Linked DNA regions of Caenorhabditis elegans. The protein of the gene in region 3 interacts with the protein of the main gene of each other region in a pairwise test. Each region holds a gene or a part of one and is shown on either strand. Other genes may lie near its edges. The genes, in order: hcp-1, unc-83, nud-2 and hcp-2.

The links.
Region 1: the proteins of nud-2 (region 3) and hcp-1 interact in a two-hybrid assay, tested with the Caenorhabditis elegans proteins (3 studies listed by BioGRID).
Region 2: the proteins of nud-2 (region 3) and unc-83 interact in a two-hybrid assay, tested with the Caenorhabditis elegans proteins (one study listed by BioGRID).
Region 4: the proteins of nud-2 (region 3) and hcp-2 interact in a two-hybrid assay, tested with the Caenorhabditis elegans proteins (one study listed by BioGRID).

The regions. Positions count from the first base shown.
Region 1 is NC_003283.11:6,592,663-6,599,727, reverse strand, and holds hcp-1 (HoloCentric chromosome binding Protein), read right to left. Parts: upstream 5,535-7,065; 5' UTR 5,503-5,534; coding exon 5,452-5,502; intron 5,395-5,451; coding exon 4,793-5,394; intron 4,749-4,792; coding exon 4,247-4,748; intron 4,198-4,246; coding exon 3,895-4,197; intron 3,844-3,894; coding exon 1,930-3,843; intron 1,883-1,929; coding exon 1,619-1,882; intron 1,567-1,618; coding exon 1,004-1,566; intron 955-1,003; coding exon 726-954; 3' UTR 520-725; downstream 1-519. Other genes in the region: ZK1055.6 (Protein F37C4.5), read left to right, coding at 21-473; ZK1055.2 (Nucleotide-diphospho-sugar transferase domain-containing protein), read right to left, coding at 6,094-6,307, 6,354-6,472, 6,520-6,687, 6,732-6,796, 6,845-7,065.
Region 2 is NC_003283.11:6,463,220-6,468,077, reverse strand, and holds the start of unc-83 (Nuclear migration protein unc-83), read right to left. Parts: upstream 3,014-4,858; 5' UTR 2,866-3,013; coding exon 2,794-2,865; intron 2,645-2,793; exon of another isoform or gene 2,445-2,644; intron 1,692-2,444; exon of another isoform or gene 1,511-1,691; intron 1,074-1,510; coding exon 975-1,073; intron 114-974; exon of another isoform or gene 1-113. UniProt on the Caenorhabditis elegans protein: Cargo-specific adapter that is involved in nuclear migration during development and thereafter.
Region 3 is NC_003279.8:7,857,216-7,860,945, reverse strand, and holds nud-2 (Protein nud-2), read left to right. Parts: upstream 1-1,528; 5' UTR 1,529-1,542; coding exon 1,543-1,752; intron 1,753-1,837; coding exon 1,838-2,228; intron 2,229-2,277; coding exon 2,278-2,393; intron 2,394-2,659; coding exon 2,660-2,824; 3' UTR 2,825-3,190; downstream 3,191-3,730. Other genes in the region: apb-3 (AP-3 complex subunit beta), read right to left, coding at 3,200-3,496, 3,672-3,730. UniProt on the Caenorhabditis elegans protein: Part of a complex with lis-1, which is recruited to the nuclear envelope by unc-83, where, in turn, it recruits dynein to the nuclear surface and regulates nuclear migration in hypodermal precursor cells.
Region 4 is NC_003283.11:9,643,837-9,650,729, reverse strand, and holds hcp-2 (HoloCentric chromosome binding Protein), read right to left. Parts: upstream 4,872-6,893; 5' UTR 4,849-4,871; coding exon 4,798-4,848; intron 4,753-4,797; coding exon 4,151-4,752; intron 4,104-4,150; coding exon 3,602-4,103; intron 3,554-3,601; coding exon 3,266-3,553; intron 3,218-3,265; coding exon 1,823-3,217; intron 1,778-1,822; coding exon 1,514-1,777; intron 1,467-1,513; coding exon 904-1,466; intron 849-903; coding exon 626-848; 3' UTR 519-625; downstream 1-518. Other genes in the region: atl-1 (Serine/threonine-protein kinase ATR), read left to right, coding at 5,276-5,349, 5,397-5,498, 5,547-5,611, 5,656-5,735, 5,784-6,266, 6,312-6,539, 6,587-6,893.

The DNA.
Region 1 (7,065 bases), on a different chromosome or scaffold from region 3:
TATTGCAATTCATGTTTCAGAGTCACATGAAAGATGTGTCACCAGGTGAACGATTCACCTGTTCTCTAGGCGTGGACACGGCCATTCGTATCGAATATAAGCCAGCCAAAAAGTTCCATGAAGAAGGCGGTTACATCACAAAACATTCAACTCATGCCACCGAGCAGACGATTAGTGTAAAGAATACAAGAAGTGGACCGCCTGTACTGTTAACAATCAAGCATCATGTACCACGTAGCACAGATGAGAAGATACGTGTGAAACTGACATCTCCAGTTGGCATTACCTCTGATCAAACTGATCAAATTAATTCAGAAAACGCTGAACCAAATGTTGGAATTATTCTGAACAAAGATAACAACTTGGAGTGGACTATCAAATTAGACGCTATCAGTTCGAAGGATCTATTGATTAAATGGATTGTTGAACATGCGAAAGGAGAGAACATCGAACTTCGCGAAAATTTGCAATGATAATAATCCTGTGAAATTTCTGAGCTGTAATATATCACTTTTTCACTATAAATGACGTCACCTTTATTCAGGATCTTCTTTGATTGTATTTTAATGAGACTAAAAATCGTTGATAAATTTAAAAACCCGTTTATTCTGACCCTAAAAGCAAATAATATTTGACAAGTAAATATGGGTTCAGAACGGGTATTCATGGCACATATGTTAGTGGGGGACGGTGAGAGATCTAGTGGGGTGAGAGAATCTTATAGCCTATTGGTGTTGGCAGTTTGATCGATTCTTCTTCGATGGAGTTTCGCGAGCCGACTTCTCCAAAACGTGATCCTCCGGATGATGATTTGAAGCATCTATCTGCCGGGCAGTAGTATTCGACATGGTTTGAAGACGATCTTGGAAGGAGTTCTGCGCATCTTCGAAGGCATCCTCATGAGCAGAGTTTTGCGGTTCGACAAGTGAGCTTTCGCGGCTCAGTTGTTTCACACTGAAAATAAAACGCTCAACTTGTCAATTTTAATACATGTTCAACTCACCCAAGTCTTGCTTGCTCGATCAGTCCCATTACTCGTGGCGGCGTCTTTACACCCTTCAGCTGCTTGATCTCGGACTGAAGTGTCATGATCTTGTCCTTATACTCCCGCTCGTCATCATCAAATGCATCACAAACTTTCTCCAATCGCTGGATTTCGATTTCAGCCCTCACCAACTTTTCCTCAAGTTCCAGAATACGAGAATGTGCTTGTTCCAGTGCTTCCGACTGTTCTTTATTTTCAACTTGAATCAAAGTGATGTCGTGTTGAGCTTGTTCTTCGACTTCAATGACACGACGGTCAGATGCTTCCATCTTCTCATGCATTTCTCCAAGCTGTCGTTGCATTTGCGAAAGCGATTGAGTGAGAGTGCCGAGTTGCATTGCCTGCGACTTCCAGACATTTGCTTCTTCCAGGCGAGCCTCAAACTGCTGTGAGATTGTTTCGATCCGCGACTCCAGAGTAACAATCGTGTTCTCTTTCTGAGAGAGTGCTTCCTCTGCAGCCTCGAGTTTTTCGTTTGCATTGCTCAAAGACGAGTTCCACTCCAATCGGATCGATGCTTTCTGTAAAATTTATCAATAAATTTGGAATTAAAAAAATGTCCGTTAAACTAACCTCCACTTCGAAAGCTTGCACGAGGTTTAGCATCTGCTCCTGAACTTTTTCGAGTTCTTCGACTTTCTCCTGCTTTGCGTTTTCGGTGTCAGCTAGGGCCTTTTGTGCAAACTCAATTGATGCTTGAAGCTCTTTAATGCGTGAATTCAACTCCTCTGACTTGGCTTGAGATTCTTCGATTGTACTCTGTGATGTCCGAAGAGTATCAATTACGGATTGGAGGCGTTCTTGTTCTTCCTTGTGCTTTGCAGCTTGATCCGCGTTCTGAAAAAATACAATTTTATAAATATAAAAGAGAAATTTCGTCAAACCTCAACATCTCGGCTTTCAATCTTGGCCACTAGTTCCGCAAGATGTTCTTCTTGATCCATCATTGCCTTTGTAGACTTTTCTACTTCTCCACGAAGCTTATCAATAGTCTCAGCGGAAGTCCTCGTCAGTTCAATGAGCTCGGCGTTTGCAGATTCCAACTGAGAAGACATTTCGGATAACTGATCCATATTCAAGTTAGTATCAATTTCCATCTGCTCATTTTGACTTTTCAGCTCACAGATTTGCGATTCAAGTAGTGACACTTTGTCGGTGAAGTCTTGGATGGTTTTGCTTTTTTGAACGTTTTCAGCTGTACTACTCTCGATAGCAGTTTCTAACTCCTGAATTTTACCTTCCAACGAAGTTACGAGATCAGAAGATCTGCCTTTTTCTTGAACAGCAGCGTCAAGTTCAGCACGAAGAGCTTCATACGATTCACCTTGTTCTGATTTAAGAGCTTCCATAACGACTTGAACAGCATTGGTGTCCTGGCGAGCAGTTTCAAGCTCGCTTTGAAGATCAGAGACTTGCACGTTTAACTCTTGAACCCTGGCATCTGAAGTTCTCAAGTCTTCCTGAAGACGATCAGTGAGATCCGAAAACTGCTGAGCCAAGTCGAGTTGAGATTGAAGCTCCAAAACCTTACCGTTGGAATCCTTCAAATTGGCACGAAGATTGTTTAATTCCTCCAAAGGTTCCTTCAAATTCTCCAACAAAGATTCCAACTCTTTGACTTTATCTTCAGAAGCGACAGCATCAGCCCGAGTTGATTGCATTTCTTCTTGGAAGGCGGTCAATGAAGCTGTCATTTCAGAAATCTGTGCTTCAGACGAATCCAACTTCAACTGCATTTCCTTATTCGCTTCAGTGATGACAGAAAACTCCCGACTAGAAACTTCAATTTGCTGTTCGAGTTCAGACACTTGAATATTCAATTCTTGGACCCTGGCATCTGAAGTTCTCAAGTCCTCCTGAAGACGATCAGCGAGATCCGAAGATTGCTGAGCCAATTCGAGTTGAGATTGAAGATCCAAAATCTTATCGTTGGAATCCTTCAAATTGGCACGAAGATTGTTTAATTCCTCCAAAGGTTCCTTCAAATTCTCCAACAAAGATTCCACCTGTTTGACTTTATCTTCAGAAGCGACAGCATCAGCTTGAGTTGATTGCATTTCTTCTTGGAAGGCGGCCAAAGAAGCTATCATTTCAGACATCTGAGCTTCAGACGAATCCCATTTCAACTTCATTTCCTTACTTGCTTCAGTGATGACAGAAAACTCCCGACTAGAATCTTCAATTTGCTGTTCGAGTTCTTCATTCTTTGCTTTCGACATGGCAAGATCGGCTTGAAGTTCTTCAAAATTCCTCAGAGAAAGTTTCAACTCTTCGTTTTGCAAATTGGATGACTGAACCTCACGTTCAAGCTTTGAAAGCACCTCAATAGAAGACTGAAGTTCGTCAATCTTTACTCTTGACAGTTCAATATCCAATAAATACATTCGATGAGCCTCTTCCATCTTCAACTCCAGATTTTCCACCTTAGTGACGGCAACATCAGTTTCTTGTTGTGAAGATAAGAGTTGAGCAGCCACCATCTCCAATGAAGACGTTAGTTCCGCAATTTTTTCGTTTGAAGATGTCAGATGTACATTCAACGAATTGTTTTCATCAGACTGTCTCTTCACTTCTTCCAACTGCATCTTCATCTCAGAAGTCAATTCCTGGATTGTAGCTTGCGATGCCTCCAACTGTGCATTGGGCTCACTCGTGGATCCTGACTCAAGTTTTGCAGCTTCTAACTGGTTCTCCAAATCAGAAATCTCTTTAATCATGAGCGATCTGAACTCTTCGAGTTGTTGCTCGAGCTCCACAACACGAGAATTATTGGTGGCTTCAAATCGCAGCTTTTCGACCTGAAAAATAAAAATATATATATTGATTTGTGATTATTCAATTAAGCCAACCTCTGCTTCAAGGCCGTTCACTTTTTCCTCGGCATTCTTGATGTTTTCGGAAGCTTTTTCTTGTACCACCATTAACTCTGCTTGAAGTTTTTCTTTGTTCTCAGACGACAGTTGCACCTCCAATTCAAGTTGTTTGATCTTGTCGTGAAATTCTTGGATCTCCAAGTTTGCTTGTTGGGATTTGAGGGCGAGTACTTCTGCCTCCAGTTTCTCCATATCCTCAATCATCATCTTGCGAACAAGTTCGTGCTCATACTTCAGCGATTCACTTGTTGTTTGTGATTCGGTGCGAATCCTTTCCATCTTAAAAATAATTAATTAAATTTACTTCGGCAATAAATTCTATAAAAACCTCTTCACTGAATCTCGCTTCTTTCTCTACTAGATCGCGCTGAAGACTTTCGTTCATTTGTTTGGTATTCTCAAGCTGTTTGATTGCTTCTTGATGGCCTCCAATTAACTCCCGAATCCGATCTTCCGAAGCAGTCGCTCCTTGTTGCATCGAATCTACTTTCAAAGCCTTCTGGGTCAACTCCTCGATTTGAGCGTTCAGAGCAGCAAGATTGTGTACCAACTGATTCTTCTCTTCGTCAGGCTCTTCCAGCTTCAAGCGTAACTCCTGAACTTGTTTCTCGAGAACTTGTTCTCGTGCCTTAGCGGCTTCGCGGTCAGATTTTGCCTTTTTCATTGCAGAATCTACTTGCTGAGTCAGCATCTTTTCCTCAAAAATTCGAGCTTCTTGAATCTCACTGAGCTGTTGACTGTGACTTTGACGGAGAAGCTCGATCTGCGACTGAAGAAGTTTGATTGACTCCTCATGCTCGGAATTCTGCTCCAACATTTCAAACTCGTGTCTGAAATTATTTTGTTTTAAGCTATAAATACGACAATTTCTTACAGTGAGAAGTCAATGTGACCTTTGACAGGAAGCACTGGGGACTGGGGGACATCTCGGACTGGCTTTGTAGGCTGATCTACTCCTTTGGCGATTTCCGTGAGAAGCTGTGGATTAGATACTGTTGGAGTACATTCTCGGCTCAGAATCTGGCTCATTGGAGTACGAGAAGCAGTAGGCGTAGTCTCTCCGTCAAGTGCCAATTGATTATCGAAATCATTGGACAGTGTGGCATCGGCGTCCGTCTCGTCGCTTTCTTGAACCATGCTCAGGTTGCTCGTGCAATTTGAGGTGTCGTAGAGCTCAGATTGTTCTAAATTCACATCAACATTGCTGCCCGGAGTGATGGAAGCATCGTTGGTTCCCACGAAGGATGCATCATCAGTAGCCAAAGCTGTTACTGTAGACAAATCCAGTAGACTTGTGTTGTCGGCAGGGGTGATAGAAGAAGCAGAAGACGGGCGGGAATCATGCTCGAGGCAGGTCTCCTCCAGGTTGCTATCGGCCATATTGCCCGACGAAGTTCCAAAAATGCGTTTCGGTTCTCTTCCTAGTCGTGATTTAGGCGTAGCGGCGGAAAATGGCGACTCGGTTTGCTGGCGCTTCTGAAATAATTTATATTGTCATTGATTTAATTAAAATTTTGAGAAAATTCAACTTACATTTCCAGCTGAGCGCTTGTTCTCGTTGTCGAATATCGGCGATTCGTCCATTGTGAAAGAAACGTCGATTTATCTATAAATTAGCAATAATGATTATGGAAATTACACAAGGGATATTAAAAATCAAAAAGGGCGCGTGATTTGAAAAAAGGAGGAAAAAAGTACTAAACAGGAAATTAAGGGGAAAATAAGTTTTTAGAAATATATCTATTAAATACTGCGTGTGAAACTTTTTGACGTTATGTGGCAACAAATAAAGTAACAAAACAGTATTTTCCAAATGTCAGATAACTGAAAATGAACGTTCATGAATAATGAATGAATGAACGAAATGAAAAGTGCCGGATTCCCGCGCGTGGTGATTCAAAATTGAAACCTTCCCGCCATGTGCGGTGGAGCACGGTTGCTCTTACCGACCATAAGGTCAAAATATAATAGGTCTACAAGTGAAAATCGGTATATTTTATTTATTTTGCAGTTTGTGGCCTTGTAAAAATGGGGTTGATTGGAACAAAAAAATTAAAAACCATCGTTTGCGTTTTATGTAGTTTTCACAAATTTTTATTCCAAAAATATATCTTGTCTTACAATTCAAGTAAATATACATACACAAAATCTGAATTTAAAGTTTAAAATTGCTGGTTACTGAAACAATAAACCCATCATCCGGATATAAGACAAAACTTGCTGAAATGCAACATTTTCTTCGAACATTCTCAGGCTTTTCAGAATTTCGTTTTTATCTCCACGAAGTCGTGAATCGTATGACCATGTCGAATTTTGAGGACTACATTTTTGAAGATCTATAGGCCCACTCAAAGGATTATACCAAAAATCTCGTCCCATTTGGCTAGGCCTGTAATACTTGAATAATTTTTAAAAAATTCAGGTAATTTGCCAACTCAAGCTTCACATTCGGCGTTTCTCTCAATTGATTCGTTTTCCAACCATGGAACATGAAATCTAACTCTGGATGCCACATCATTGATGTCAGCCAGCCGTCTTTAGCCCATCCTGTTCCCTGTACAGTTAATATTGTAGATGTTGTGGTATTAATTTTAAACCTACTTTTTTCATAATTCTAACTTTTCCAAAATCAGTGGATACGCCAAATATTGCTCGGATACATGACTCGTAGGTGAAGAGATCATCAAAATTTTTAGAATTGTTATAAGCTTTTTTGCATACTTTCGTATTTGCAGAAGCCTGTGGGAACAACTTTTCGGCAAGGAAAATCTAAACAATAAAATAAAAATTGAAATAGGAAGTTACCAAGTTACATGAAGTGCTCCATTATCCGTTCCATGAAAACTATTTGGTAACTTGTACTCATAATCAGCAAACTCTGCAATTTTATTAAATTCATCACAAAAATTTCGAATAAAAAACTAACCGTTTAATAAATCAATAGCATATTGAGTATTTCTTGCAATATAAGATCCAGCCATGATCTCCCAATTATAGAATCTATCATAGAATGTAACATCAATTCCATCATCCAAAAACTCTTCAATTTTTCGCTTTGGATTCACAACACCAATATCAGCGTCTAAGAATAGGATCGCATCAAATAATGGGAGAATCTTTGCGGAAACACAGTGGCGGCGGAAAAAT
Region 2 (4,858 bases), on a different chromosome or scaffold from region 3:
TCTGTGGTTCGGGGGGCGAGATGTTATTCGATACTATTTGGTATAATAATTTAGGAAAGCTAATTGAATCGAAATGTGTGGCATTTTCTCAGGAGTCAGTGGCAGATAAAATGAAGGATCTTCATCAAAATGTTTAGTAGTAGAGGTTGCACAATCAACCAACTACATTTGATTAATGGGTGACCTTCCAAACAAACGGCAATTGCCACAAAAATTGGGTGAGTATATTGAATGAGTGTGGGAGGATAAGAAGCACAGAGAGATGAGTTGCAGTGGTCATTTGTTATCTCATTGAAAAAGAGCAAACGATTTGAGGATACTTTCTTTTTAAAAATTTTAATCATCGGATATTGAGAAGTACAACTTTATACCTTCAAAAATTGGTTTTTTTTTGTTGTTTACTCTATGATTAACCGCTTAAATTTAGATGTAGTTCATGGAGTGAACAAAACTTACTAGTTAGAGCAAGAATAAGTTAGCTATGTTTTTGTGAATGGGAAGGGTTTATTTTAATTTATCATTCCTAGATCAACAAGTCTTGAAACTTCAACCAGAAATTAATTCTGGTAAACTTTATGTAAAAACTGTATTTGGAAGATTCAAAAATTCCCTAAAGCACAGGCAAAAGGCTTGTCAAGTGAATGTTTTCAGTTATCCATCACCACATCTGCCGTAATATTTTCGTACCAGGCTTGTGTTCAATTGACAGGCTCGTAACGTTTCTCTTTTTGATAATTGATGACCCCTTAAACTATTGCTATCTCTTGCTCAATCAAATGGACAACTGCCTCAAGTTTGCAAAACTTGATCTTGATATCAGAGGGCTAAGCAAAAAACTTTGTTCAAAGAAAAACTAGAAGAAAATCGAGAAAAACAGGAGGTTCTTTTGAGGCCAGCTACACCTAATTACTCTCCCAGTTTCACTTGATCCATGGCAACCAAACGACACAAGCAATAAAACAAATAAGACTTACTTTTGAGGTGAGGTTGTGCAACGAGTCGAGGATTAAATTGTAGAGCGAGGAGCAGTTCTCCAAAAAGATATCCACTTCCTCAGCCGACGATTCGATGACCTGGAAATTAAATTATTGATCATTAAAATGGGCAAAGTAACAGCTGGAAAGATATCTAGGAGATATTTTTAACGATGGTTGTACACGCGCAATTCGATCTTGTACAGCTGCGTAGTGCAATTTAATAAAACAGTTTATAATTTGATACAAATAAAAAACCAAAAAAGGTGAAACAAGATTTTCAAAAAAATGTAATTTGTTATTTTCATTATTTAAAATTGTCAAAATTATTCTGAAAAATTAAAATATGCGCCCATTTTTCTAAATGACCCTCACAAACGATTTAACGACAATCAATGGCCACCCGCTCTACCAAAAAGAAGTGCTTTGCTTTCAGTGTGACTGTAAAATTGGTAATTCCGAGTCAATTTACGATTTCTCGACCTTCCGGGCGGCCCACTTTGCAATAAAACGAAGAGTAAACCTGACGTTAATCGATTCAATTGCCAAAATTGAGAGGATCAAGGAACATGGCACAGGAATCGTTGTGTAGGAACAACCAAGTTTGGAGAAATGCACTCGAACTTGCAAGTTGCTCTTCACTGCCGAGATGCGCACCTCGAGAAACACTTATGGTATTGGGCACTCGGAATCATTCTCTTCTTACTAACAGCTTTTGCCAAACAAAGTTACTAGTAGTCGCGCTCTGGGAATGTGTGTGAATGGCGTGAGGATTCAATGGTCCGCATATTGTTTTTGGAAACAAAAAGAGAAATATGGGGTAAGTCAACAAAAAAAGGTGTCCATGAATGTGTTGACTTTGCGGTACCTTAACAAGGAAATCTGGGAAATACCTATACTTACTAATAATACAATGAAATATTTTACAAGGAACCTAAGGTGTCAGTCAATTATTTCTCATGCGAATCTTTTAAATATTAAAAAGTATCGCATTTTAAAGGTTTTACACATCATTTAGCGGACCAATTTTGATAACTTTTATGTTTTTCCTGAAAAATGGCTCTCAAAATTATGTGCAAAATCTCTGAAGATCAATATAATTATGTTGTCTGAACTTGATTCTGCGCTTTTTTGCTAATAAATGTACTTAGCACATAGAAATAATTAATATTTTTTAATGATAAATTTTCGCACACTGAAATATGGGAATGTCTTAAAATCTCTTGAAATTTAAACTCCCGTCATCAATAGTTTTACACTTTCTCCTTCAAACTTCTTTTCAAGATAACCACAGTTTTCAATTCAATTTACTTCGTCGTCCCCCACCAGATCAAAACATTCGATAAGAAAAACTAAACGATGCGGAATTTGAATGTGCGACACTAACTCTTTCCACCTCCAGTTATAAATCTTTGAAGCACAGCGAAAAAAAACTTCAGCCGTTCGTCTTTAGTCAATCGAAAGAAAAAAAAAGATAGCGTGGAATTCGGGATTTTTTGCGCCAAAATTGAAAACTCGGCCTCTCGGGCTTTTTGACAGCTTTTTGCAAACAATTGATGGCGCAAGGGTAAATGCTCAAGCATTTTTCAAAAAGGCACTTTCAATAATCAAATAGATTTGAAAAATAAAATTATTTTCGCTCGTTTTGGTTTAGAAAAAAACTACATTCTACTTTGGTTTGAATAAAGAAATCGAACTTTTAATTTTTTTTCTCCTACTTTTAACGAAATTTTACTTTTCAAATGAATTCAATATGCAAGAAAATGCGTTGAAAATTTTAAAGTATTTTTTTTTCGTAAAATTTAAAGCTCTGCCTCACCTTCAAAAGATGGTCCTCCGATGATATATCATTGGGCATCTCGACCTCCGAGAATGAGTCCATTACGTCCATTCGTAACCTGTTTTCGGGTTACTTTCGGTGTCCAGGAATAAAAATAAAAAAATCAGAGAAGTTTGTATCCAGACGTGGGATACTGTACTGGTAGGGGTGGACGATCAATTACGCATCTGCGCAATATGATCACGGATGAGAAACGGATCTGGAAAAATTTAGTTTAGACGGAAAAATACTTAATCAAAACGAAATGAGGTGAAAATTTAAAAATAGAAAAAGTATATACAATTTTTTGTGTGTAGAACAAAATAGGAAAAATTTCGTGAAAAACAAAGAAAAAGAGATTAGTTGTTTCATTGGAGCTGAAAATAAATTTCAAGAAGAGATTTCTGTTGAGATCAAAGTCAAGAAACGGAAATTCAAGTCATATTGAGGATAGAAAATTTGCAAAATATATACTCAATTCAAAACTAGCCTAGTTTACCAAAAATCTATGAAAATTGTGTCGAGCAGTAAAACATCCTTTTAAAGATAATAAAAAATGTTTTTAATAAAAATGTAGAAACACACGAAAAACTTCATAAATGTTTTACTTATGTATAGTACGGTTTCCATAAAATTTGTTAGGCCAGTTTTTGAAAATCCAAATAAAAATCCATGGATTTCATGCCCTGGACAACAAGCCATCGCCCGCAAAAATGTTCGCAAATTAAAAGATAAACATAGAAAAGTGTGAGATGCTCGAAATCTGCCCCCCAATCCGAAGTCTCCGCCTTAATAAACAATAATACTGATGAGAGAGGAGAATCTAGAGAGTTGGGAAGAGAAGCTTGTGATGATGATGGATTATCATGTCATTCACACAGTTTTCGTTTCTTTTCGACACCTGATAAAATAATAAAAGATGATAATTATGATGGAGATATTGTTTTATGAATTTTTATGAAGATTTATGAAGATATGAAAATATGAAGAGATAGGTGTGAAAGTGATAAAAAAGAGATTGGACCAGGGAAATCAGCTGGAAGATTTTATTTTGTGTGAAAAAGTCTCGTGATTTCCAATAAAAAATATTAAGCAAAATTTATGGAAATTATCACAACGAGGTCCAAGAAATTTCCAAATTACTACAAAATAGGTTGTAGCTTTCAAAAAAAATGTAACTTGATTTAGAAAGTTCTGGAAAATATCAATTAACAAAACGTTGGAAAAAATATTTTTGAACTTGTTGAAAATTGAATTAAATTCCTTTTTTTTAAATTCAAGTTTCCACCCATTCATTTTTCAATTAAAATTGAATCTATGGAAAACTGGAAAGGAACAAATCGAAATTTTGAAAATGTTCACGAATAGATGTCCAACAGCACATGGCCCTGACACTTTTCGAATTTATTGGTTTTGTTGCAACAGGAAGTTCCCCCAATAAATGTGATAGAAACACAGTGAAACGATGGGATAATGGACCCAAGTTAATGGAGTCGGAAACGGCAGACAGCCCCGGCTCATTTATCACCAATGTGCGAAACATTGTGATACTAAAGTAGAAAAGGAACACTTTGTAGTGCCCGAATGTTTTACGAGTTTTAGAAATGATTTGAAGTACAATTTAGAAATTTCATACTTGAAATATTCTGAAGAACATTGCAAAATTTCAAAAAGAAAACATTTGTTTCTAGACTAACATCAAAATTACAACGCATTACCAAAACTGCAGAATAAACTTCGAACGTCGTGTCTAATTTGTTTCACAATTAAAACTATTTAGGCCCTTTGTCTCAAATGTTTGAGGGAATCTACGGCAAGTACTTGCATTACTATCAATTTGGTAGAATGTTGGCTCTGCATTGGTTGATAATAAAAAAGAAGAGACAACCGTTTTTATTTGATAATGCAACAAAATGTCGCCCAAACTGCGCTTCTCGTTTGCCCCCAGTGACTCATAGAGGGGTAACACTTTCAAAAACAGTTAGAAAACTTCAGCTCCTTCTCAAAATGCGTAAAGCCATTAAAAAGTTTTCAAAAGAAAATTATGCCTGAGCTGATCAGTTAA
Region 3 (3,730 bases):
ACAGAGCTCTCGCTCTTCGATTGGCACTTTACGAGTGAAGTCAAATACTGATTTGATAGGCTTCTCAATGTGGAGGAATCTTTTGCGACGATCGCTTTCTTTTTTTGTTCACCTGTTCGTACTATTCAATTCTTCAGCAGAGTGATGTTAACCTTGATCGTGTCATGTCGACCTGAATAGGAAATAGATGAATCGTATAGTTTGTGTGTATGTGAAGCACTTTTCTCGTTCATTTACATTTTCGAATATCAAATTTAGGTGTGGTACTGCGGCGCGGGAAAAAACGCGAAAAACAGATTATACCACCCCCAACTCTCCTCGTGACGTGGCCCAGTGATTCGTGAATCCTATATTAACCGCTGAAATTGGTCATTTATTATCTCAACCGGTTTCGTGTTTCTGTTCACTAATTCGTACGATTTTCTGTGTTCACCACACCTAATCCAATTAGAACTCAACAACTCGATGAGTCATGCGTAGGCGTTTTGGAATTTCATTTTTTAAATGTTTGTTAATACATTTCATTCTCTCCAAATTCTCACTTACATCATTAGTCTCAATCGTTACAACTAAATTGACCCGCTTAACTTGAAAATCTTTCAAATAATATGCTCAATATATTCTGCATTCCTTATTCTATTTGTTATCAGTTATTATACGCGACCATTGCCGCTCCCCATTCCTCCGACTGCTGCCTATCGTGAGTTTGACCTGAATTTCGTGTGGGAAATTGGACTGTTATATGAATTTAATTTCTATTTCCGAAGTTTAATTATCGATTACTAAAATTGATTGCCATTTCTGGAATACTCTTTGAAGAAATTTACCAATTTTTCTTTTAACACAGATTTTCTTGAATGACTATTCTATTCTATTTACAAAAAGTGTTAATTTTTTCGGAATTAGTTTCTTATAGCAGATTTCTTTGAACTTCATCAGTGTATTAAACCCAAAAAACAGTAAAATTTTCCTTCAAAGTATTTTGAAATCTTCAAAGGTTATCTGATCTTAAAATTATTGCCTATTGGTGTTACTCGCACAGCTGTTCGACTTTTTGTAGCGGAAGTGCGGACGAGCTATGGGAGCAAGGACAAACACAGAGCACACGGCGGCCGGAGCAGCCGGAGCACCCCCACTTTTTTGTTTGCTCGAATGCCTTGTGTCAAAAACTTTGGAGGATTTTCCATCTTTCCTCAGAGAGATGACTTTAGCTGTCTATCAGATGATGGCGACCTTAGATATCCCGATTTATAAGAATACTGAGACTTTTCTTCAACATCGTTAAACCTCAAAAAACATCCATTTGCGGTAGCAACTAATACGTAGTTGCTTCTGTTTTCCTCCGTTCGACCAGTTCTCTTTTTCTCTCTTTCCCAAATGTCCATTCTATTCTCTCACTTTTTGTCCACACGTGGCCGAACGTTGTAAGGGTTTAGTGTGTTCACAGGCGGCATTATACGTTTTTTCCTACGATTCATAATTTTTGTTGAATATCCTGAACAATTTTCTAAACCTTTAATATTTTCAGATCATCAGAAATCAATGGATTTGTCTGAGGATCAAATTCGCGGACTACCGCACCATGAGCTTCTTGGTCATTTCTTGCAAATGCGCGAAGAGTTTAACGAGTTCCAGACAAGTTCCGCGGAAATTGAGAAAATGATGGATTCAGAATTGGATGATTTGAAAACACAACTGAAAAAAGCAGAAACCAGAGTACAGCAGATGACCACAGAGCAAATTAGGAACAAGGTTGGTACTATTTTTTACATTAAAATTGAAAAAAAAAACTTTATAAAATTTTTCAACTATAATTTGAATTTTGTGAATTTTAAAGGATCGACAGGACGATTCCCGTGTACAATTTGCACAAGTCGAAGAGCAATTAAGACGAGAAAACTCACATCTTCATGAACAATGTGAAAGTCAGAGAGAAAGAATTCGAAAACTGGAACAGAGAAACGATGTGCTCGAAACATCAGAAAGAAATAAGGAATATCTAGCATCTGATCTCGGATCGAAACTGGATCATGCTATTGAAAAGATAGCAATGTTGGAAAGTGAGCTTTATGAACGGCAAGTTGCTGCTGAAGAAATGCATAGATTACGAGAAGAACAACTTCGAACAACAGAACGGCCACGTTTGATTGTAGAACCATTGAGGAATGATCCAGAAATTCTGCCGGACGAGCCATCCCCAGGTCCAAGTAAAGAAGAGTTTAAAATGAGTAAGTATTTGTCGCATTTTGAGAATGAAAATAACTAGTACTATTTAAGGCTCGGAAGATGTTTTCATGGAAGACGTGCAGCACCACGAAGATGTTCGAATGGAGGAAACTATTGCAAAAATTGACGAAGTGCGCATCGATGACAATAAAAATATTCAAGAAAAAGTACGTAAATTTTCTTTTTTTGGTGGATTTTTGAAAGTAAATATCCAAATATTAATTCAAAGAAGACCTGCAAATTTCGATCAATTAATAGCTTCACACCTTATTTCGGAATGAAAAACATTTAGTCGAAAAACTCTTGCAGCGAGTTCTAATTCTTTTTTCCCTCACAACTATAAACGATAGCATCTCTAGATGCAGAATAGACCGAAAAAACAATATTTGCTAACCCATTTATAGTTCTCAGCCAACATTTACATAGCTTTCAGAGCCAACGAGTATCTACCGGTACGGGCGCCGGTGCTTGCATCAATCGAATCGTCAAAGACCTGATGACAAAAGTCGAGCGGCTCGATTCAATTTTATCGACGATTCGCGTGAGCAACAACTCGTCTAACAACAATTCCAGTCATCTTACAACGACACGGGCTTAACATTTCATTTTTTGGTTTTTCTCACCTTTCTCGCATACTGTGACTTTTCATTCACTCAGGGATCCTCCATTTCATCATTTCCTTCGTTTCTTTCCGTTATTATTCTTTTCCATGACATCCTGTATCATGCTTATGTTTTATTCCCACCCAATTGGTATTAGACCCCGATTTTATTTGCCCCGCCTTACTGTTGCTCAATATAAGTTCCACGTTCGCCATTCACCCACATTATTTTCCAAATTTCTAAAGTGCCTACATATTTCTAATTTTTCTGTTAAAAATTTATATATCCGTCACCATGAATAGTTAGTAAAGGAATGATTTCAAGAAAAAGTGAGCAAAATAAATAAATAAATACAATTTGAATTAATCTTTCTAGCAATTTTTGGAGACAGAGAACGCCAGCATTCGTCCTATCACCGAGTTGTCACAACAGCACTCAATCGATTTTTCTGAAACTGTCAGAATACAAACATCCTTTCGTGAACGTGTCTGGCAAGTGAAAATGGTCAAATCCGAAGAAAATGCGTTAACAAATAGAGCAATTGACGAAGGATTAATGGGATTTTCGAGTTGTATCACATGCCGATTGAGACCTCCAAGACGACTTCTTTCTTTTGAAATATCTTCTGGAGACAGACGAATTGGTTGAACTTGCTCACCATATGGGACCTAGAATTTAGGAAAAAATTTAGTTTATCTTTAAAAGATGCGGATTGTGGAATCTAGTCAGGAATTATACAAGTTTTGATATAAAATATTAACCATCAAGGGAGTATTTACGTTTTTCAATTTTTTTTGTGGAAAAAATAATTTTAAAAGCCTCTGAAACTATTTAAAAGATTACCTCAAATCTGAAATGCTTCTCATGACCATCATCTCTTGTAAGTATCCATTCTCTACTTG
Region 4 (6,893 bases), on a different chromosome or scaffold from region 3:
TTGTCGCCTGGGATGTTGTCGAGTCTGAGCTTTTCAGAGTCCGATAGCTTCAGCGGCGGGATCCTTGGCGGTTTAGAGGTTCGTTCCAGTTGGCGCTTTGCTTCCAGGTCTCTGCACGGGTGCGTGTTTGACTTGATCGCTGCCAAGTACATCTGTTGCGTCGAGAGCTTATATTCTTCTTTCAAAGGGAGAACTCTGCATTCTTGGTAGATGTGGTCCGTCGGCGTGTCCTTCGTTAGTCCAACTCATAACTCCAATCTTGTTGCCGTTGTTATTTTGTTGTGGCCGTCTTGTCGAAGGAAGGGGAGGAGCCTAGTCAACAAGGTAGATCAAAAATAAATTATGAGAAATTTGTGCGATCGTATTTTTTCGATAATATCACGGTCAATTTTTTAAATGATAATCAAACAAACTCAATATAATCAATGATCTGTATTTTTTCGGATTTAATTAATCAATTCAATGCATCAAAGAAGAAGACTATGTAATATAAAAGCACAATCATCTAAATTTAAATTCACATAAAGACATTTATTCTGACCCGGAAAGACATTCACAGTTGAGTAGTGCGCGGAAATACGTAATGGCACACAAAAAGTAAAAATAAATAAAATACGAGTTCAAATTATTGCTGGTTGCAGTTTGAGCGGTTCGCCTTCTTCGACGGCGTTTCAACTGCAGTTGTTTCTTGAAGATGATCATCTGGATGGAGTACCGTAGATGACGTGATAGCATCTGGCGAATGGGAAAACTCTTCTTGGAACGAATCCTGAGCATCTTCGAACTTGTCCTCAACAACAGGCTCTGGTGGCTCCGCATGAGAATGTTCACGACTCAGCGGCTTCACTCTGAAATATCAAAGATTTACATATCTGAGTTTTGTCGAAAATCATGGAGACTTACCCAAGTCTGGCCTGTTGAAGGAGTCCCATTACTTTTGGTGGTTTCTTGATTCCTTTCAATTGCTTTATCTCAGATTGAAGCTTCGAGATGGCATCCTTCAGCTCTCGTTCAACGTCGTCGAAATCGTCACACACCTTCTCGAGTCGTACAATCTCCTTCTGGGCTCTTCCCAGTTGCTCCTCAAGTTCCGCTATTTTGGATAGTGCTTCTTCTAGAGCCGCTGATTGCTCGTTCTTCTCTTCCTGGATCACAGTTATATCATGCTGAGCTTGCTGCTCCACTTCAACTGCGTATTTGTCCGATGCAACCAGCTTCTCATTCATTTGTTGAAGTTGTACTTGTAACTGAGACAACGATTCAGTCAGTGTACCGACATTCATGGCTTGGGTCTTCCAAACATTCGATGCTTCAAGGCGCTCCTCGAACTGCTGAGACATCGCTTCGATTCGAGCTTGGAGAGTGATAATCTCTTTTTCTTTCTGAGCAATCATTTGTTCAGCATGACCAAGCTGCTCTTTGTCTGCGGAAACAGTTTGGTTGAACTCGTTTTGAAGTGATGTCCTCTGAAAAGAAATAAATTATGTTCTGTTCGAAATTCGAAAGAATATACCTCTGTCTCAAAGTCTTGCTTCAGCTTTACCATTGCCTCATTCGCCTCAGATATCTGAATGTCTTGTTGATGTTTGACGTCTTCTACATCTTGAAGAGCCTTCTGTGCAAAGGAGATGGAAGCTTCAAGCTCTTCGATACGAGCAGCAAGTTCATTTGACTGGGAACGGGATGTTTCCGTGGAATGTTGAGCCGATTTGAGCTCGTCGAGAGTCAATTGAAGCTGCTCCTGCTGATCACGATGTTTCGATACTTGAGCGATTAGCTGAAAAACAAGTTTAATTCGACTGAAATCTTAAGGAATTTAAACCTCTTCTTCTCTTCTCTGAACTTTAGCTTCGGATACTTCTAGGCTCTTTTTCAGTTCTTCCATCCCTTCAAGAGCATCCCCAAGCTTCGCATTCAGTTCATCAACCATTTCCTTGTTCATTATCTTAGCTCCAATCAGTTCTTCCTTAACATTTTCCACTTGGGATTCTCCGACGACGAGTTTATGTTGAAGCTCTTCTAGTTGAGATGCCAACGCCACCATATCCCTCTTGTGACTAGAATTTAGTTTTTCATTCAGAGATTCGAGAACTTCAGCATTTTGTTTGAAATTTTGAAGGTCCAATTGAAGTTGTTTTATCTCTTCCACAGAGCTTTGTTGAAGATCTTGAGCAGACTTTTCCGTATCTTCAATTTTCAACTTCAGCGTATCCACCAGTCTCAGAAGACCATCTTTTTCTTGAACTGCAGCATCAACCACTGATCGAGAAACTTCTTGTGATGCCGACAACTCCAGTTGAAGGGCTTCGAAAGATTCTTTTAAAACCTCACTCTCCATCACTTTCTGACGAGCATTACTGACTTCTATCTTGAGCATCTCCAGAGAGACCTGCAATTCTTGATTCGTACTTTCTGCAGAGTGCAATTTTTCCTTCAAATCATCAATCAATGATTCCTGTTGATTCTTCAGATCTAGAATTTGTTCTTCAGAGGAGGCCAAATCAGAGCGAAGTTTTTCGTTGGTTTCCTCTGCTTGCCGAATTTTTCTCAAATAATCTTCAAGGATGTGTTTTTGGTCTGCGGCGGAATCTGACTGCACTCGAACTTCAGCTTGGAGAGAATCAATAGAGGATCTCAGCTCAATAACTTCTGCTTCCGTCGACATCAACTTGCTCTGAATCTGGTACTTTTCTTCTTGATGTCGAGCCGATTCCTGGTGCATGACTTCAGAAGTCTCGCGAAGAGATACAAGTTGCTGAATTTGTTCCTCCTTCAATTGATCACGAAGCTTCTGACAATCTTCTTGAACAATTTCTAGCTTCTTGAGCTGTGAACTTCCAGTTTTTACAGCTTCTTCTTGTGCCAACTCCAATTCTTTAATTCTTATTTCCGCCTCTTCCAATTCAACTGATGTTTCATGTTGAATTTCTTCTAGTTCCAGTTGAAGACTGCAAACTTTATCCACCGAAGCCTTATATTCTCTTCGCATTGTTTCCAACTCAGAGACTGTGTTTTCAAGAGCAAGCGAATACTCATTTTGTGTAGACTCCGAATCCATTAGAAGTTTATCGCTGGCCTCAGAATCTTGACGAAGAGACTCAATGGTAGTCAATAGTTCACTGATTCGAACATCTTTATCTTCCGCTTTACGATGTGCATCGTTTAGCTGACCTTCCATGTCCACCAATTTTGCATTTTCGACGCGAAGGCTATTGATCTGAAATAAGAAATATAGTGCAATTATTTCTAAACTCGAACTACGAACCTGTTCCAGGAGTTCACCGTTTTTCTGAACAGCTTCCCCAATTTCTGACGTGGCTTTCTCTTTCACTTCTACGAGCTCTGACTGAAGTTCAAGCATTTTTGAAGTCAAATTGCAACAGTCAATTTTGAGATCATCGAGAGTCTTCTGAAGTTCTTCCAGTTCAGTAGTATCATTCTTCGGTTGAAGAGCAGACATTTCATTCTCAAGACGATGGATTTCATCCAACATCAGTTTACGAACAATTTCATGTTCCGACTTCAGAGTTTCAATTTCAGAGTTGGAGAACACCTAAGAAAAAATATAATTAATTTTCAGGCAAGATATTAACTGCATTACCTCTTTGTTGATCGTTGTCTCCAATTCCACATACTTCATCTGTAGTGTCTCAATGTCTTCCTTAGCCTTTTGCAGTTGTTCATCAGCCTCCTCTTTCATTTCTTGCAACTCCACAAACTTTTTTTCGTAGTCCTCAATGCTGTGTTGCATGACATCAACCTTCAGTGCTTTGTCAGTAAGCTCTTCACAACGACTCTTCAACTCTTCCAACTGATGTTCAAACTGTAGTTTCTCTCCGTTCGGCTCCGTTAATTTCATCTCGAGCTCTTCAATCCGTTTCTCAAGAAGTTGTTCCAGAGTTTTTGCAGCTTCGCGCTCAGATTTCGTCTTTTTTACAGCCTCCTCCACTTGTTGCATGAGCATTTTCTCTTCAACTTCACGAGCTTCTTTAATTTCAACAAGAGTTTGTCTATGTTTCTCTCCAAGAAGTTCAATTTTCAATTGAAGATCTTTAACGACTTCATCATGCTCGATATTTTTCTCCAGCATTTCGAATTCATATCTGAAATAAACAATTTAACAATGGGAATAAATTTAAATTAATCTTACAAAGAATATTCAATTCTCGATTTTTCATGCTGAGATGTTGACTGAACTGACTCTACAGAAGTTGACTGCACAACCTCACTCTCGATTGGAATTTTCGAACGAAGTGGGGAAGGAGCAGTTGGTGTACTTTCGTCTCCAACTTGTGTCTGGCTCCGAAGTGGTGTTGACGGAGTATTCTCTAGATCTTGAATCGTTGCTTGTTGGAAGAAGTCGTTCGCCAGTGTGACGTCACCATCAGTCGCAAAACTCTCGTCAGCAATGCTACAGTCTTTGCTGATGCTGTCTTCACTGTAAACCTTCGTTTGTTCCAAATTAGGATCGACATCATGAGCTGAGGAAGCTCTTGGCGGTTCACAGACACTGTTATCATCAACGGAGGTATTTGGCGGGGCGAGTGTGGAAAAATTGGAGATTGAAGAATCATCAAGAATAGAGTCGGAGGTACTGGTAGACGAATGGCGCGAGTCTGGCTCAATGCGAGTTTCTTCAAGATTTCCATCGGCCAAATTCATAGCAGAACGCCCGAAAAACCTTTTCGATTCCTTTCCGAGACGCGATTTCGGTGTCGCAGCAGAAAACGGAGATTCAAGCTGTTGTCGCTTCTGAAATTGTTTTGCTTTTGATAAATACAAAAATATTTAATTTACCTTCCCAGTTGCAGGCTTGTTTTCATCGCCGTCGTTTGTACTTTCCTCCATATTGAATTTGATCAAATTCGTCTGAGAATTTACGATAATGAGTTGGGGAATTGCACTATTGAAAAAAACAGTCCACGTTTAACGAAATAAAACGAAGTGAATCTGGAACTTCACGAGAAAATAATAATTTTCAACAAAACAATACAAAAACTGGAGCAATCGTTTAAAATTTCGCGCCGTTTCAATAGGGCGAGTTTGTATTTGCAATGCAAATTCGAATATATTCGATCCAATCGAACTCTATATTTTGCTTAATTTTTTTTGCGGAAGGAATTTATTTTTAAACTTTGTTCGTTTCCTTATTTTTAGTAAGTATTAGTGAATTCTTCATAATATTATCACAAAAACGTTAGCAATATATTTTAAATATTGTTAAATATCCATCGAACCACTGAAATAACGTGCGCAGGCTTTCAGATATTTGGGAATGAATATCGATAAGGATGTTTCAGCTCTGCTATGTACGGCGAAAAAATATGTGACGCAGAAAGAATTCAACAGGTATAATTATTAAATCTTATCTTAACTTTTTTATTTTACATTTTCAGACAAAAAATGAAATTCTTGTTAGATGACATAACTAAATTGTTATCGAAATCTTTCGTTTCCCGAATCGAGCAGTTAGACGAAAATGAGTTCATGGAAAAGATGTGAGTTGGAAAATGTAGAAGATGATGATTATATTTATGTTTTTTCAGAATGATCCTTCAGAGTATAACATTTACATTACATTTAATAACAGAGAAGCAGGAACTTTCTTCAGGTAGAAAATACAATTTAGTATTTGTATTAATATATTCGTTCCAGAGGAAAAAATAAGATTATTTCAATCAGTGATTGCGTCGATGTGTGCCTTTGAGGATGAAGAATTGGCAAAATGTTTTGACGTTAGCAAGAATTATATTCAATAATTCAATGTTTTTTATTTATTTCAGCGAATTCTATCAGTACTGATGATCTCTGTGACGAAACAAGACCCGAGAGAAACTATTTATTTCCTGCAAGGATTACTGGAAGTTGTTAAATATTGTGACGTCGAACCTTCGTCTTCTCTGCCACAATTAATCACTCCTGAAATTGCTTCAGCTATTTCATTAGGTGCCTCAGGATTTTTTAGATATCATTTGAAGTGGAATATCATTTCAACTTTATTCGGAGAAAACGCAGGAGAATGCGTTCATTTCGATGAATTGGTTCTGTTTTGGCCTCACTGCCGATCACAGTTGGAAGACAAACTGAAAAATGATTGCTCGATGACCGAAAATTGCTTGCGTGCTGGATTGACAATCTTAAAATATAAAAAACTGCACAATTCTATTCTTGATCAGGCCCTGTTCATTGATGAACTGTTTGCCACATTTAACTCATTAACTGCGAAGAAGTCGACCAATCACATGACGTTTCCAAAGCTATTGAATGTAATTTCATTTTTATACTTCGAATGTATAATTTATCAATTTCAGGAGATACAACACTTTCTACAGGATCATGGCAAAGTTTTGATTATGCATAAAGAACTTCGACAAAAACCAGTTCAATGGCTCATAATTTATTTAGAGTTAATCGATGATGCAAATGACAAGTTTGGACTACTAGAAAACTTTTCCTTGTTGTTGTTAGATTTATCGACAAACCATGATATACATGAGTTTCCTGCGAGGCTATGTATGACAGCAAGTGAGATTTGCATGGTGAGTTAATTAGAATATTAAACAATTAAATCTCGGAATTGTTACAGCGGCGAATCAAACACTCTATTCAAAGTACACACACTGATTGCCTTGCTGATTACCTGGACATATTGGCGTCTCTGCTGAAACTTGCTCGAATTCAGAAACTAGACATTTTTCAATGTTTTGCCACAGAGATTGAGGCTCATCATTCCCTCAACAATCCGCTTTGGCCACGAATTCTTAGATCTCTACTCAGTGTACAGAATCCTCATTGCCAGCAATTCTGCAAGAAATTCGTCCCGTCTATAGACAAATTGTGGATCACATTATTGAATGGCGAGTCATCGAGAGCTACTTTAAACTCTCTTGTCA